3 linked regions of the Rattus norvegicus genome follow. The protein of the gene in region 2 interacts with the protein of the main gene of each other region in a pairwise test. Links are inferred from orthologs where the notes say so. Each region holds a gene or a part of one and is shown on either strand. Other genes may lie near its edges.

The links.
Region 1: the proteins of Spg21 (region 2) and Akirin2 interact in binary tests that used the Homo sapiens proteins (3 or more experiments, as listed by UniProt). The two-hybrid records come from large-scale screens. The link is inferred for Rattus norvegicus from reciprocal best matches to the Homo sapiens genes SPG21 and AKIRIN2.
Region 3: the proteins of Spg21 (region 2) and Efhc2 interact in binary tests that used the Homo sapiens proteins (3 or more experiments, as listed by UniProt). The two-hybrid records come from large-scale screens. The link is inferred for Rattus norvegicus from reciprocal best matches to the Homo sapiens genes SPG21 and EFHC2.

What each region holds. Positions count from the first base shown.
Region 1 is NC_086023.1:53,902,899-53,907,344, forward strand, and holds the start of Akirin2 (akirin-2), read left to right. Parts: upstream 1-1,636; 5' UTR 1,637-1,834; coding exon 1,835-2,063; intron 2,064-4,446. UniProt on the Homo sapiens protein: Molecular adapter that acts as a bridge between a variety of multiprotein complexes, and which is involved in embryonic development, immunity, myogenesis and brain development.
Region 2 is NC_086026.1:74,896,573-74,900,218, reverse strand, and holds part of Spg21 (maspardin), read right to left. Parts: intron 2,388-3,646; coding exon 2,280-2,387; intron 1-2,279. UniProt on the Homo sapiens protein: May play a role as a negative regulatory factor in CD4-dependent T-cell activation.
Region 3 is NC_086039.1:7,942,210-7,946,535, reverse strand, and holds the start of Efhc2 (EF-hand domain-containing family member C2), read right to left. Parts: upstream 2,811-4,326; 5' UTR 2,720-2,810; coding exon 2,678-2,719; exon of another isoform or gene 2,619-2,677; intron 1-2,618. UniProt on the Homo sapiens protein: Microtubule inner protein (MIP) part of the dynein-decorated doublet microtubules (DMTs) in cilia axoneme, which is required for motile cilia beating.

The sequences.
Region 1 (4,446 bases), on a different chromosome or scaffold from region 2:
TGTTTGATCCCTGGAAATATATAAATGGAGTGTGGTGATGGTACAGGCCTGTCATCTTAATCTCAGTTCTCAGAAGGCAGAGGTGGGAGGTTCAGAAGTTCAAGGTCGTCTTTGGCTACACAGAGAGTTTGACATCCGACCTTATCTCGGAAGGAAAAAAAAAAAAGTCAAGAACCTTTCTTATTCTTCTCTTTTACATAAAATATGAACATTCAGTCAGTTTCAGCATAATAACAGATTTCCCAGACTGTTTAGAACTTAGTAAACACTTCCTTAGTACATGTCTTAGTTAAGTGATTGTTTCATAGAATGCTGGTCTTTCTCAAAAGTTACTTTCTAAAAACTATATCCTAAATTAAAATAAGCTGGGCATAGCAGCTTTCACATGTGATCAGAAGGCTGATCTTTGTGATGTTGAACAATTCTAAACCAACAGATATATAGTGAGTTATTGTTCAAAACAGCTATAAAGTAGCTACATATGTTCACTTCTGAGTAAACAGAAAAAGGTGAGCATTAGACATATTAATATTTATAGTCATATGATAGTCATGAAATGTCAGTGGAGAGCTAGCATCCACAAGCAGAAGATATAAAGTGTCTACATAAATTACTTCATCAATGCTGCAATCGATCCTTATTTTAGATATTTGATTAATAAATTTTAGAAACATTTCTTCCTACTTTGCTTATAAAAACAGGTCCTAATTCCTAGGCGTTTGTTTGCCTTTTTCTAGACCCCACCCAGTCTTCCAAACTCAACAAATTTCTGGTGTTGATTACTCTTTGCTCATAGTAAAATTATTGACTTTGTGCTTTGTTCAAATGTTACTCATTTTCAGCTGTGCAGAATTTAATAAGCATAGACAAGTATCTATCTGGGAAGCACAAAGCAGACTTCAAAGATCCTGTAATCTGATATTATTACGGTTGTTCTGTCTGAGGTCCCAAATTGGTGTTTTCATTATTTCCTATCCCCTCCATGTGACAGATTTGGTTTTTGGCGCTCTTGACAGCTAAATTAATCTCTCTCCAACTATTAGATTGGCTCTTTGTTATATCCTGTTTTAAGTCACTATGCTGAACAGGGTCTCTAAATTACTTAGCTTGCTTTCCTACGGGTTCGCTTCCTCATCCCCACTGTCTCAGAGGCTCTCCTTTCTCTTCCTTACATTTTTTTTTTTTTTTAAACTCTTTTACTTATGAGGGGGTATTTAAATTCCAACCCGGAACTTGGGATCGCGCGCCTTGGATGACGGGAGTCGTAGTTTCCGTGACTTCTGGGTAACCGCCTTTCAGGCCCACTCCTGCCCTCAGCGAAACCCCACAAATCCCAGAATGCACTCTGACAGGCCCGCCCCCTGTGCGCAGGCGCCCTGTGGCCGCAGGATTTGAATCGGCGGCGTTGTTATTGACGCCATATTGGGGCCGGCGGCGGGTGGCAGAGTTGGTCCGTGAAGAGAGGGTCGAGTGCATTGCCTAGCTCTGTGCGGCGGAGCTACCACTCCGCTCCCGCAAGTTGCCGCCGCTCACGAGCTTCTGTCTACACCGGCGTGTTGGAGGTCGCGTTTCGGTCGTGCCACTGACCGGGTCCACTTCCGAAGGGAGCCGGTCTCCGCGCAAGAGCCTCAGCGCGCTCAGCCCGAGCGCACGGCGGGGGCGGCCCGGCCTCTCGGGAGCGGCCCCGAGCGGGCGGCGCGACCCTCGCGCCTCGCCCGCCTGCCCTGTCGCGGCTCCTCTGTCCCGGGCCCCACACCTACCGGGCACCTCGGAGGGCCCGTTTGCCCCGGTCCTTCCCGGCCCCGCCCGAGCCGGGCCTCGGCTGCCCGCCGCCATGGCGTGCGGAGCCACTCTGAAAAGGACTCTGGATTTCGACCCACTGCTTAGCCCGGCATCTCCGAAGCGGAGGCGGTGCGCGCCTTTGTCGGCACCGGCTTCGGCTGCCGCCTCCCCTGCCGCCGCTACCGCCGCCGCCGCTGCCTCTGCCGCGGCCGCTTCGCCGCAGAAGTATCTCCGGATGGAGCCTTCCCCCTTCGGCGACGTCTCCTCCCGTCTCACCACAGGTGGGCCTCGGCCCCGGGGCTGCCTGGGTGGGCTGTGGCTGGGCGCTTGGGTGCGGACACAAAGGGAGGGCCTGAACCAAGGTGGGGGTGGTGTCGGCAGGTTGGGTGGGTACGGGTCGGGTTGGTCGGCATTGTGGGGTACTTTATTGTGAGGGAGATCATTTGGGGTAGGATCACTGGAATCGTTTCCTTATGTAGGGACTCAGCGGAAATGATCAGAGAGGGTGATATTATTCATAAGTCGGGCGAGAGAAGGGTCACATTTCACCCGAATCTCCCGGTCTCTTGGGCTGAATCGATTGGTTGCAGCTATTAACTCAGTGACTGAGTGGTTTGAGGCGAGAAGGCAGCCCCTCCTCCATTTTAGACTTGGCTGGTTTTAGTATAGAAGGGGTGGGGTTTGGAGGGGGATGGATGTCACTGGGGCGAGTTGTAGGCCTGTCATTAATCACCCACAAGAACGCCACTTTGGCTGAGTCAAGACCTGTTTCCCTAGCAGGGTCAACAACAAAGCAAATGTTCTTCCCGAGTACTGTAAAGTGATCTCACTATGCGTCTAGTCCTTAAGAAATCTTGAACTTTTAATGAAAAGGAAGGTGTACTTCGAATTGAGACTGACTAGTTAATTTGTAAATTATCCCAACGAAGTATGTTGGGAGAAAACAGCCTAGCCTCGAGAGTAACGAATAAATCAAGATTCCAGTGGACTTCAGACTTGAAGTCTTGAACCATTTTCTGAAAGTGTCTGCCGAGTTGTACCTTTGATTGCTTTTGTACACTAAATGTGTACCTAGGGATTATTTTCCCCTCTGCATTTGGAAATCTTTGTGTGCCACCGGCACAGTTTTTGGGTAGGCTTTGATGGACTTGAAGTGTCTGTTTCCTTTGTGTGTGGCATGCAGTGTATGTGTGCCTGTGTGTGCAAGCCCTTAGTAATATCCTTAAAGCCTTTGATCAGCTTTAGGTTTTTTCTCAGTAACTCATTTTAAAAAGATGGGAACTATAGAGTTCTGTATTTGGTAACATTCATCTGAAACTGACTGTACCATGTGGTTTTTTTTCCTTAATGTCACATTTAAATATTCATATCCAAATCCATGGTGAATCTCAGTTACCTACTCTTGCTATTAAATTTTTGATCTAATGTAGCCTAATGCTGTTTTAAGAATTGCAGTCAGTTTTCATAGGAATTTCAAGAAGTTTATTTAACATCATACGTAAACTGCCCCTCCCCCTAACATATATACACATACATACATACATACATACATACATACATGTGTGTGTGTGTGTGTGTGTGTGTGTGTAAAAAGGTACTGTTAGAGGAAGGCTTAGAGATCTGTGGGTCAGGACTTCTAGGGAAGGACTATCATATTTACATTACTATTTATAACAGTAGCAAAATTATGGTTGGGGGGGTCACCACAACATGAAGTACTGTGTTAAAGGGTGGGCTCATCAGGAGGGTTGAGAACCCACTTCTTTAGACATTACTGAAAAACAAGGGAACAAAGTGAAGAATGAATTCCTTGGGGCAGACATTTTTGTCTTTAATGAAATGCTCTTTGAACATTGAAATGGTGTCCGATCTACTAATGAGGCCATTTCAAAATAGCTGTAACTAGCAATAAATTTCAGTGGAGTTAGTGTTAGGTTTGAGAGTTACAATATATCCCTATGCAATTAAAATCTTGAACACTAAAACAGCAGGGAGCTTTGACACCTTCCTTTTCTTAAAGGGAACTTGTTAAGAAACTGTAATGATCATCTTCCAATCTGTTGTGTCAGTGCTGTATCTGTAGAGTGGTTAATATTCTTCACTTCTCTCGGATCTCAATTAGTAAAATAATTAGGATTGTTGTTAGTCTTTTAGCCAGCTGACACAGTTTGATCACATCTTGGAACCTAAAATCACATGCTAATTGATATTTTTAGAATTTGCTAAATATTAAATTGGCATTTCAGTTAATTTGAATATTAATGTAGAAGATTAGCTTCTTGAAAAATGAGGGAAAGTTGCTAAAGTTTGAATTTGCTAAAATGTACACATATTTACTACGCCATTTTTAATGACGTAGTAAATGTGTGGTTGAACCTTTTTAGGCTAAACCTGAAGACCTGGAAGTTTATGCAGAGTATGTCCTTCTTGGTGTTCTGTTTCAGGTACTTCCGGTTCTCCCCTGCTGGTGTCCTTGAAGTCTTCAGTGGCACGCTAGTAGTTTCAAGAACTTGGGCACTGTTCTAAATGCTGTTATTTTAGACATTCCAGGAAAGTGATTCCAAATGTTGATATGACTGCTCTTATTTAAGTCAATATTTTTCAAACTTGCAACTTAATACTAGAGAAGAGGGCTAGTTGAAGGAAGTCTAGCTTGCTTTCTTA
Region 2 (3,646 bases):
TAGGGTCCCAGCACCCACAGGGCAGCCCACAACTGCCTGTAACTCTAGTTCTAGGGGAATCAACGCCCTCATCTGGCCCCATGGCCAGATGGTGCACTTACATACACACAGGCAAAACCATCCATATAAAGTAAAACAATCTTTTTAAAAAAAGACTAAAGGCAGAAGTTCAGACTCTTTCTGGGAGGAGGTGTTCTGGAAGCTGAGCACACGTGGCTTTGGACATCTTTCAGATGCTCTGAGGCATGCATACAAAATAATTTTTGAAAATATTTTAAAGATAAGTATATGTATATTTTGTGTGTATATGCATGCATATATGTGTGTATGTGGAAGCTAGGGGTCAACCTCAGATATCTCTCGATGGCCTGGAACTCACAAAGCAGGCTAGACTGGCAGGTCAGCCAACCAGGAGCCTGCCTGTGTGCGCCTCTCCAAGGGTGGTATTACAGGGACGCGCCCCATGCCTGGTGTTTATTGTTTGTTCGTTTGTTTTAATGCAGGTTCTGGGGCTGGAGAAATGGTTCAGCTATTAAAGGCTGGACTCAAATCCAAAATGTCAGAATGTTAAGTAAACCAGAACCCTGTGTATTATTGGGGGAAATGTAAAATGATACAGCCATTGGAAGACACTGTGTCAATTCCTCAGAAAGTTTAAAGTAGAATTACAGGTGTGCCACTATGGGTGTGGGTAGCCGAGGAGACCAGAGGAGGACACTGGGTTTTCTGGAGCTAGAATTATGGACAGTTGTGGGGAGCCATGTAGGTGCTGGGAACAGAACCTGCATCCTCTACAGAGCAGGAACTGCTCAACAAATGAGCTATCTCTGCAGTCCAAATCCCAATATCTAAAAAGCGAAGACTCTGATGCTTTTACACCATGTTAACTGACACATCCGCAACAGCCAAACATCTGGGTTGGAAACAGCCTAGATGTCAAGGAGATGTACAATGTATGTAATAGTATCATTCAGCCTTAAGATAATGATATTCAGACACATTGTGGGGCCAGTGAATCTTTGTTTTCATTTAGAGGTGTTTTGCCTGCATGTATGTCTGTGTACCACCTGCATGCAGGCCAGAAAAGGACAGCGGAACTTCTGAACCATAGTTAAAAATGATTGTGGGGGCTGGGGATTTAGCTCAGTGGTAGAGCGCTTACCTAGGAAGTGCAAGGCCCTGGGTTCGGTCCCCAGCTCCGAAAAAAAGAACCAAAAAAAAAAAAAAAAAAGATTGTGAAGCCGGGCAGTGGGGGTGCACACCTTTAATCCCAGCACTTGGGAGGCAGAGGCAGGTGGATCTCTGAGTTTGAGGCCAGTCTATAGATCCAGTTCCAAGACAGCCAGGGCTACACAGAGAAACCCTGTCTTGAGGAGATACACACACACACACACACACACACACACACACACACACACACAGAGTTGTGATCTGCCATGCCATGTGGGCAACTGGACTAGAACCCAGGGTCTGTAGAAGAACAATCTCTTTTATAACCAGCGAGCCACCTTTGCAGAATGAATCTTAAACAAAACCAACAATTTATTTTTAATTATGTGTGTTTCTTTGTGTGGGTATGTGCATGTGAAATCACTAGACCTTTAGAGCACCTGTTGGTGAAAAAACAAAATGCTCCAACCCAAGGGCTGGAGGTGTCTGGCTGAGTGGCAGAGTGCCTGTCTAGCACAAGAGAAGTATGGGTTCTGCTCCCAGCACCCTAAACACCTCCCCCCATGCTTACTTAATTTGACTTTATTTACATGTTGGTATTTGGCCTGTGTGAATATCAGCATGCCACCTATATGCTGATACCTGAGGAGGCCAGGAAGGATGAGATCCTGTGGAAGTGGAGTTACCGATGATTATGAACCACCACAGAGGTGCTGGGGAACAAACCCGGGTTCTATGCAAGAACAGCCAGTGCTCTTAACCACCGAATCATCAACTCTCCAGACTCTATTCTTTAACTTTTGGTGGGGGAGAGCTGAGGTAGTCTATACCCCTGGCTAGCCTAGAACTTGCTATGTAACCAGGTTGTCTCCAACTTCAGCATCTTCCTGCCTCTCTGCCTCTGCAGTGCTGGGATCACGGCATTCACCAGCACCTAGGACAAGAGTGTCTGTCACTCTTGTCAGCAAAAACCCAGGATGAGCAGTAGGTTACTGTGAAACTGAAAAGGCCAAGGTGTATTTGAAGAAGCGTGGTTAATGTCCAAATAATTATATCTTGGCTATATATTTATAATGGCAAGTACCTGTATTATTTCAAGAGAAACTTACATCCATGATGGTGACAGGGATATCCCGAATTTTATGAGGTTCCACATAGGAATTTTGACAATTGAGAGTTAGTCTTGAAGCCAGTTCACTTTGACCCAAACTCTCCAGCTGCAGGAAGAGACAGAGATGCAGGTAAGAGTTTGCAGGAATTTTATTTCCGTGCATACAGAGGGATGTGATGTTGGGGATGTGTGATGGAAAACCCACCAATGAGAAAACACAATGTATCTGAGAGACTGCGATCGGGGACTCTTGGGCAGTGGCCTTTACTATTGTGGCACCTAAGTCAGGCCCTATAAATGCCATGGGGTCTTCTCACTGCCTGTTCAATGCAGGTACACCCTAACTTATGTGCCACGAAGGTGACAAGTCAGCATGTAGGACCTCAGGTACCTTCTGCCCGGGGTTCTGAAATGCCAGAGTGCAGACTTGTTTGTCACATTGACCTGAATGGTTCAGGAGGGAGGGCAGGTAAACACTGATCCTGGCTGGGCATGGTGGCACACGCCTGCAGCCCAACACTCTGGAAGTGAAGCCTGAGGCCACCACATACCTCCTCTCTCAAGAGACAAAACCTCTCCCCGCCCAAAAGGAGCCAGATTCTCAGATGCCCATCAATTCTAGATGCACTGTCTAGCGTGAGGCCATGGAAGCTTTTGTTCTTGGAGACAGTTTTGCTGTATATCTAGGTTGGCCTCAAGGGGGAGACCCTGCTGCTTCAGCCTCCCAAGTACTGAGACTATGGGTATACGTACCATAGACAGGCAAAAAAATTAACTTTTAAATAAAATTTAATTTTATGTTTAAAATGCAGGTGTCTGTGAGGCCCGCTGAGGGTGATGGATCCCCTGAAGCTAGAATTTCAGGTGGTTGTGAGTTGCCTGACATGGGTTCTGAGAAGTCAATTTGAGTCTTCTGCAAGGGCAGTTCAGACCTTTAACCATCTCTCCAGCCGATAAGCTGGTGCCCTCAGTGACCAGAATATTGATTTCCCACAGCGGGTGTTACCACCAAAGGTGGTGCTGAGAACCAAACTCACATCTTCTAGAACAAAAACAGTGCTCTCAACTACTGAGTCATCTCTCTAGTCTCTTAGATTAATTAACTAGTTGTTTTTTTTTTTGTTTTTTGTTTTTTGTTTTTTGTTTTTTTTTTTTTTTTCCGGGGCTGGGGACAGAACTCAGGACCTTGTGCCTCCTAGGCAAGCGCTCTACCACTGAGCCAAATCCCCAACCCCTGTTTTTGTTTTTTAAGATGGGTTTCTCTGTGTAGCCCTGGCTGTCCTGGAACTCACTCTGTAGACCAGATTGGCTTTGAGCTCACAGAGATCTGCCTACCTCTGCCTCCCAAGTGCCAGGTTCCTGGGT
Region 3 (4,326 bases), on a different chromosome or scaffold from region 2:
AATTCATTGTTGTTGCCAATGCAAAACAGGCCACCAAACACAGGCTTCTCAAAGTACTAAGAAAATCGAGACAGGAGGATCGTGAGTTCAAGGTTATCCTTGGCCAAATATGAGTTCCAACTGAGGCCAGACTAGATACATGAGACCCTGTCTCATGACAGGGGGTTACTTTCTTATCAAGTTAAATATATATAAGCCATATGGCCAGTTTGTGGATTTGTATGAAAGTCAAGTGTGCCCACTACACAAAAGAAATGACAATTTTGATACTTTATTTTAGCAGGGTCTCTCTATAGCCCTGGCTGTCCTCAAACTCATTATGTAGACCAGGCTGGACTCAAACTCACAAAGATCCACTTGCCTCTGTCTCTGCCTCTGGGTGCAGGGATTAAAGGTGTGTAAAAATGAATGTTCAAGTTTACTAGGAAGTCAGGGAAATGCATATTAAAACCACAAAGGGGTTAAGAGTGTTTGCTGCTCTCCAGGGGATGAGTTTGGTTCCCAGAATCCTCAACAATTCACAATTCCCTTGTAACTCCAGCTCCAAGGTGTCTGATGCCCTCTTCTGCCTTCTACATACACATGAACACATGCGGCAAGCACACAGGTAAGTAAGTTTAAAAAATTCAAAATAAATCTTTAAGATTGCAAATTGCAGTGCAACCACTGACCAAAATATGTAAAATTTAAAAGACTAAACACTATAGGCATTTGGAAATAAAAACACATAAGTAAAAAAATGCTGATGGCAATGAGAATTATGACTTTTCAGGGTTCACTAATGCTTTCAGTATCAGTGCCATCCAATCAAGCAATCACACCAAAAGAAGTGAACAAGAGAATCATAGCAAGAATATTTGTAAAAGCTCCAAAGAGCTATCAAGAATAAAATAAATAGATAAAATAAACAGAAGGATATATGCACACACACACACACATATATGTATGATATATTCATACAATGACATATTATCCACATGGACAAATCTAACAAATACAATGCTGAACCAAAAAAGTCACAGAACAAAAAGCACAGGATATTTCCCCATATAAAAGGTTCCAAAGAAGCCAAATCTAACAATAGTGACAAAAGGGAAAATAGTGGTTCCATTTGGAGAATGGTGTATGGGTTAACAGGGTGTGGGAAGGGGCATAGAGTTCCACATAAAACACAAGCTGCTCAGTTAAATTTGAATCTGAAGCAACAAGTAATATTTTAGTAATAATAGGTCCCAGGTAATATTCAGAACATTTATTTTTAACTACTACAAATTGCACGTATAATCAAGAGGGCTGCTTTTAGAGTAGTGGTAGTACTCTATTTCTTGATGTTCCTTTTGTGATCATCTACTGCGCATTTTTCTGCATGTGTTATTCTTCCCAATAAAATAAGTTTTATAAAAAGCAAAGAACACTCAGTACTATGCTGCTGATTTTAAAATATCTCATCCAAACACTCTTTTTCTCTACCCACCCTTAATCACTGCGTGTGAGAGCTGAGATACTTCTGCAGGCAGTGGGCATCAGTAATCAGAAGCGTAGCTGAGCCAAAAGCTGTAGACTCTGCTTACATTTTTTATTAAAATTACTTTTGCACAGCATGCTTCTTTATTTCTGGAATCTTTTTTCATGCCCTCTTTTTTGGAGCCTTTCTTATTTGGCTGATTTAATCTTTCCAAAGAACAATGCTACACTTCAGAGGCCAGCCTCTAACTTACATCAGCCAAGAAACAAAATGTGCAAGCCACTGTTCAAAGTTTAACAGACTAGCTGATGTGAGGGGTTAAAAATCAACCTCAAATAGAACATCTACAACAATACTGGCCCTTTAGGGCCATCAACTCAGATACAGACACTGTTCAGAATCTGTCAATTCAGTGCACTGAGTGTTTTGCAAACTTTGAGCTGAAGTTTACAAACACCTTGAGTGACTGACTCCACATGAAGTCCTTTTCATCGATTTATATTAACTTCTCCTAAAGACATTAGCAAACCCATGCAAAAGACAGTAACCCCTAGAAAACAAAAGCTTGACTAGTTTTCCTCCTGTTAGGTATGTGGCTACTTATTGCAGAATTCTTTGTTGTTCTAGGGATTGTGATCTCTTGGTTTTGTGCTTAGGTGCCCATTTCCATTGTGTGGCACTAAACTTTATAGGCCAATAGAAGGCTTCCCTATCTGCCATGCTTCTTTCCGGGTTTCTTCTATTTAGTAGCAAAGTTTATTCTTTTACACACAGTGTACTAAAGATAATAATTAGACTCATGGATTATAAAGACCAGCTGCCTGAAAGAAAACTAGCATCACCTCGAAGACCTCAGTTTCCTCAAGATGTAAACGGGAACAAAAAGATATAATCCAAACAGCTATGGAGAATACCCAGAGCGATTAAAGCACGGCACCGCACATACATTAAACACTTAGTGCTTCTTTTTATCATCACTGTCACCAACTACTTTGGATGGCCCAACTTCCTATACTTAGATGTCATGTAGGAAAAGCATTCAGATGCACTTCGAAGGAAAGGGGTGAGGGAACATGAAGTTTTAGGTGTACTCAGCACACAGGAATAAATGGCAGGAACTACCTAGCAGGTAGGACCTAAGGAGATGAACACTCCCAGATTCTGTCTGACTCCCAGGATCTGACCAAGACCTTGGGCTTCCTGCCTACTCACATTGCGGTTAAAGCTGTTGCCAGGCAGAAGCGGTAGAGCCATGGCTGTCACAGTCCGAAGAGGATCAAGGGTCCGACCAGAGAGAGAAGATAGTTAATGCCCTCAACCGCCGCTTGTTTGACCCCCCGCGTTACCTGGAGACCGGAGGTAGCGTCATGGAGGGAGGAGGGGCTAAGATAGGCGGGGAAAGGGTAGGGGTCTTAGGGCGGAGCCAAGGCCTGGGAGGGGGTAAGGGGTAGACAGAGTGGAGGTGGGGGCGGGGCCAAGCCCACAGGGCTCCTCCCTTCCCCTCCGCACAGCATTATGATCTTCCTTTCCTGTCCGCCCACCAGCGGGAAGCAGCTTTGTTCTGACCCCACTGGTTTTCCGCGCTCGCACTTACAGTGAGTGCTCAGTTTTCACTTATGCTGTTTTCTGCTTTCACTCGTTTTTTTAAGAGCTCATATCCTCCTGTGACCTTCAGCTCACGAAATCTTGACACAGCATTGTTTTGCCATTTTGTTATTAAGTGTAGTTAAAATGCCCTGAAACGTACAGAAATCTGACGCTTGTGAGTTTACAGAGCTGTGTTGCATTTTCACCAGCCTGTTTTTTTTTTTTTTAATTCAAACGTTTGAGATGAATCTAAAACCACTCACCCCCTACAGGGAAACCCATTCCAAGGGTAAACATGGACTTCAATCCTTCTTCTGATCATTTCATATATGGCCTAAGTGTGGAAAATCTAAGGTCCATCAGCAGTGTCCAGGAGTAGGATTGGCCGCATAAAAACTCTAACCAAGCACCGTGCCTCGTGCCTGTAATCCTAGCACCCTGGAGGCACAAGTAAGAGGAATGCCTCCTTTCCAAGCCAACCTGGGCATCACTGTGAGGTTATGTCAAAAAACCAAAACAAACAAATAAAATACCAAGACTGCTCCACTAGCCACGCAGACATCTAGAAAGAAAGCCTACAGTTAACTGCCCCACAGCCCTGCTGGTTGGACACCTTAGTATATTTATCAATCCCTCTGCTATTTTTGTTGAGACCCCTACCCCCAATTATGGCTTGCCCTACTCTCTTCCTTAGAAGTGGAGGCAGCGACAACAGATCATGCTTACAGAGTGAAATTCAAACTGCAGTTGTTACTCTCTACTTCAAGAAGCTGCCTTCCCCTCCCCTGCAGGCCATCAAACTCCTTAGCCAGGCATGGAGCCCTTGCCAAAGGAACACTTTTCATCTCTAGTGGCTACTGCTTTGACCCTCCCCTCCTCTGTTCCAGCTTCAAGAAACCTCTACCTGTTTCCACCAGGCAAGACTGGGGTTTTGAAAATCACTCTGTCTTCTAGAAACATGCCTGCCTTTCCATGCTTCAACAAGGTAACCTCTTCTTATTCCAGGAATTGGTTTAGTGTGAAAGGGAGGTACAGAAGGCTTTGTAATTACTGGGAAATGAATGTTCCCTCAGCTCCCTGGTACCCCTCCTCTGTCTGCATTAAGCACAATACACACTACTTGTGCCTTCCTCCTCCTACATTGTAGTCATACAGTTACTTGAATTTCTGTTAAATGTGTGAAAATTCTTCACAGACAGAATTGTCCATCTTTATTTTGTTTAGAGAATGTGTATTTTGACTTGTCTCCCAGACACTCCTTTTGCCATGGGCAC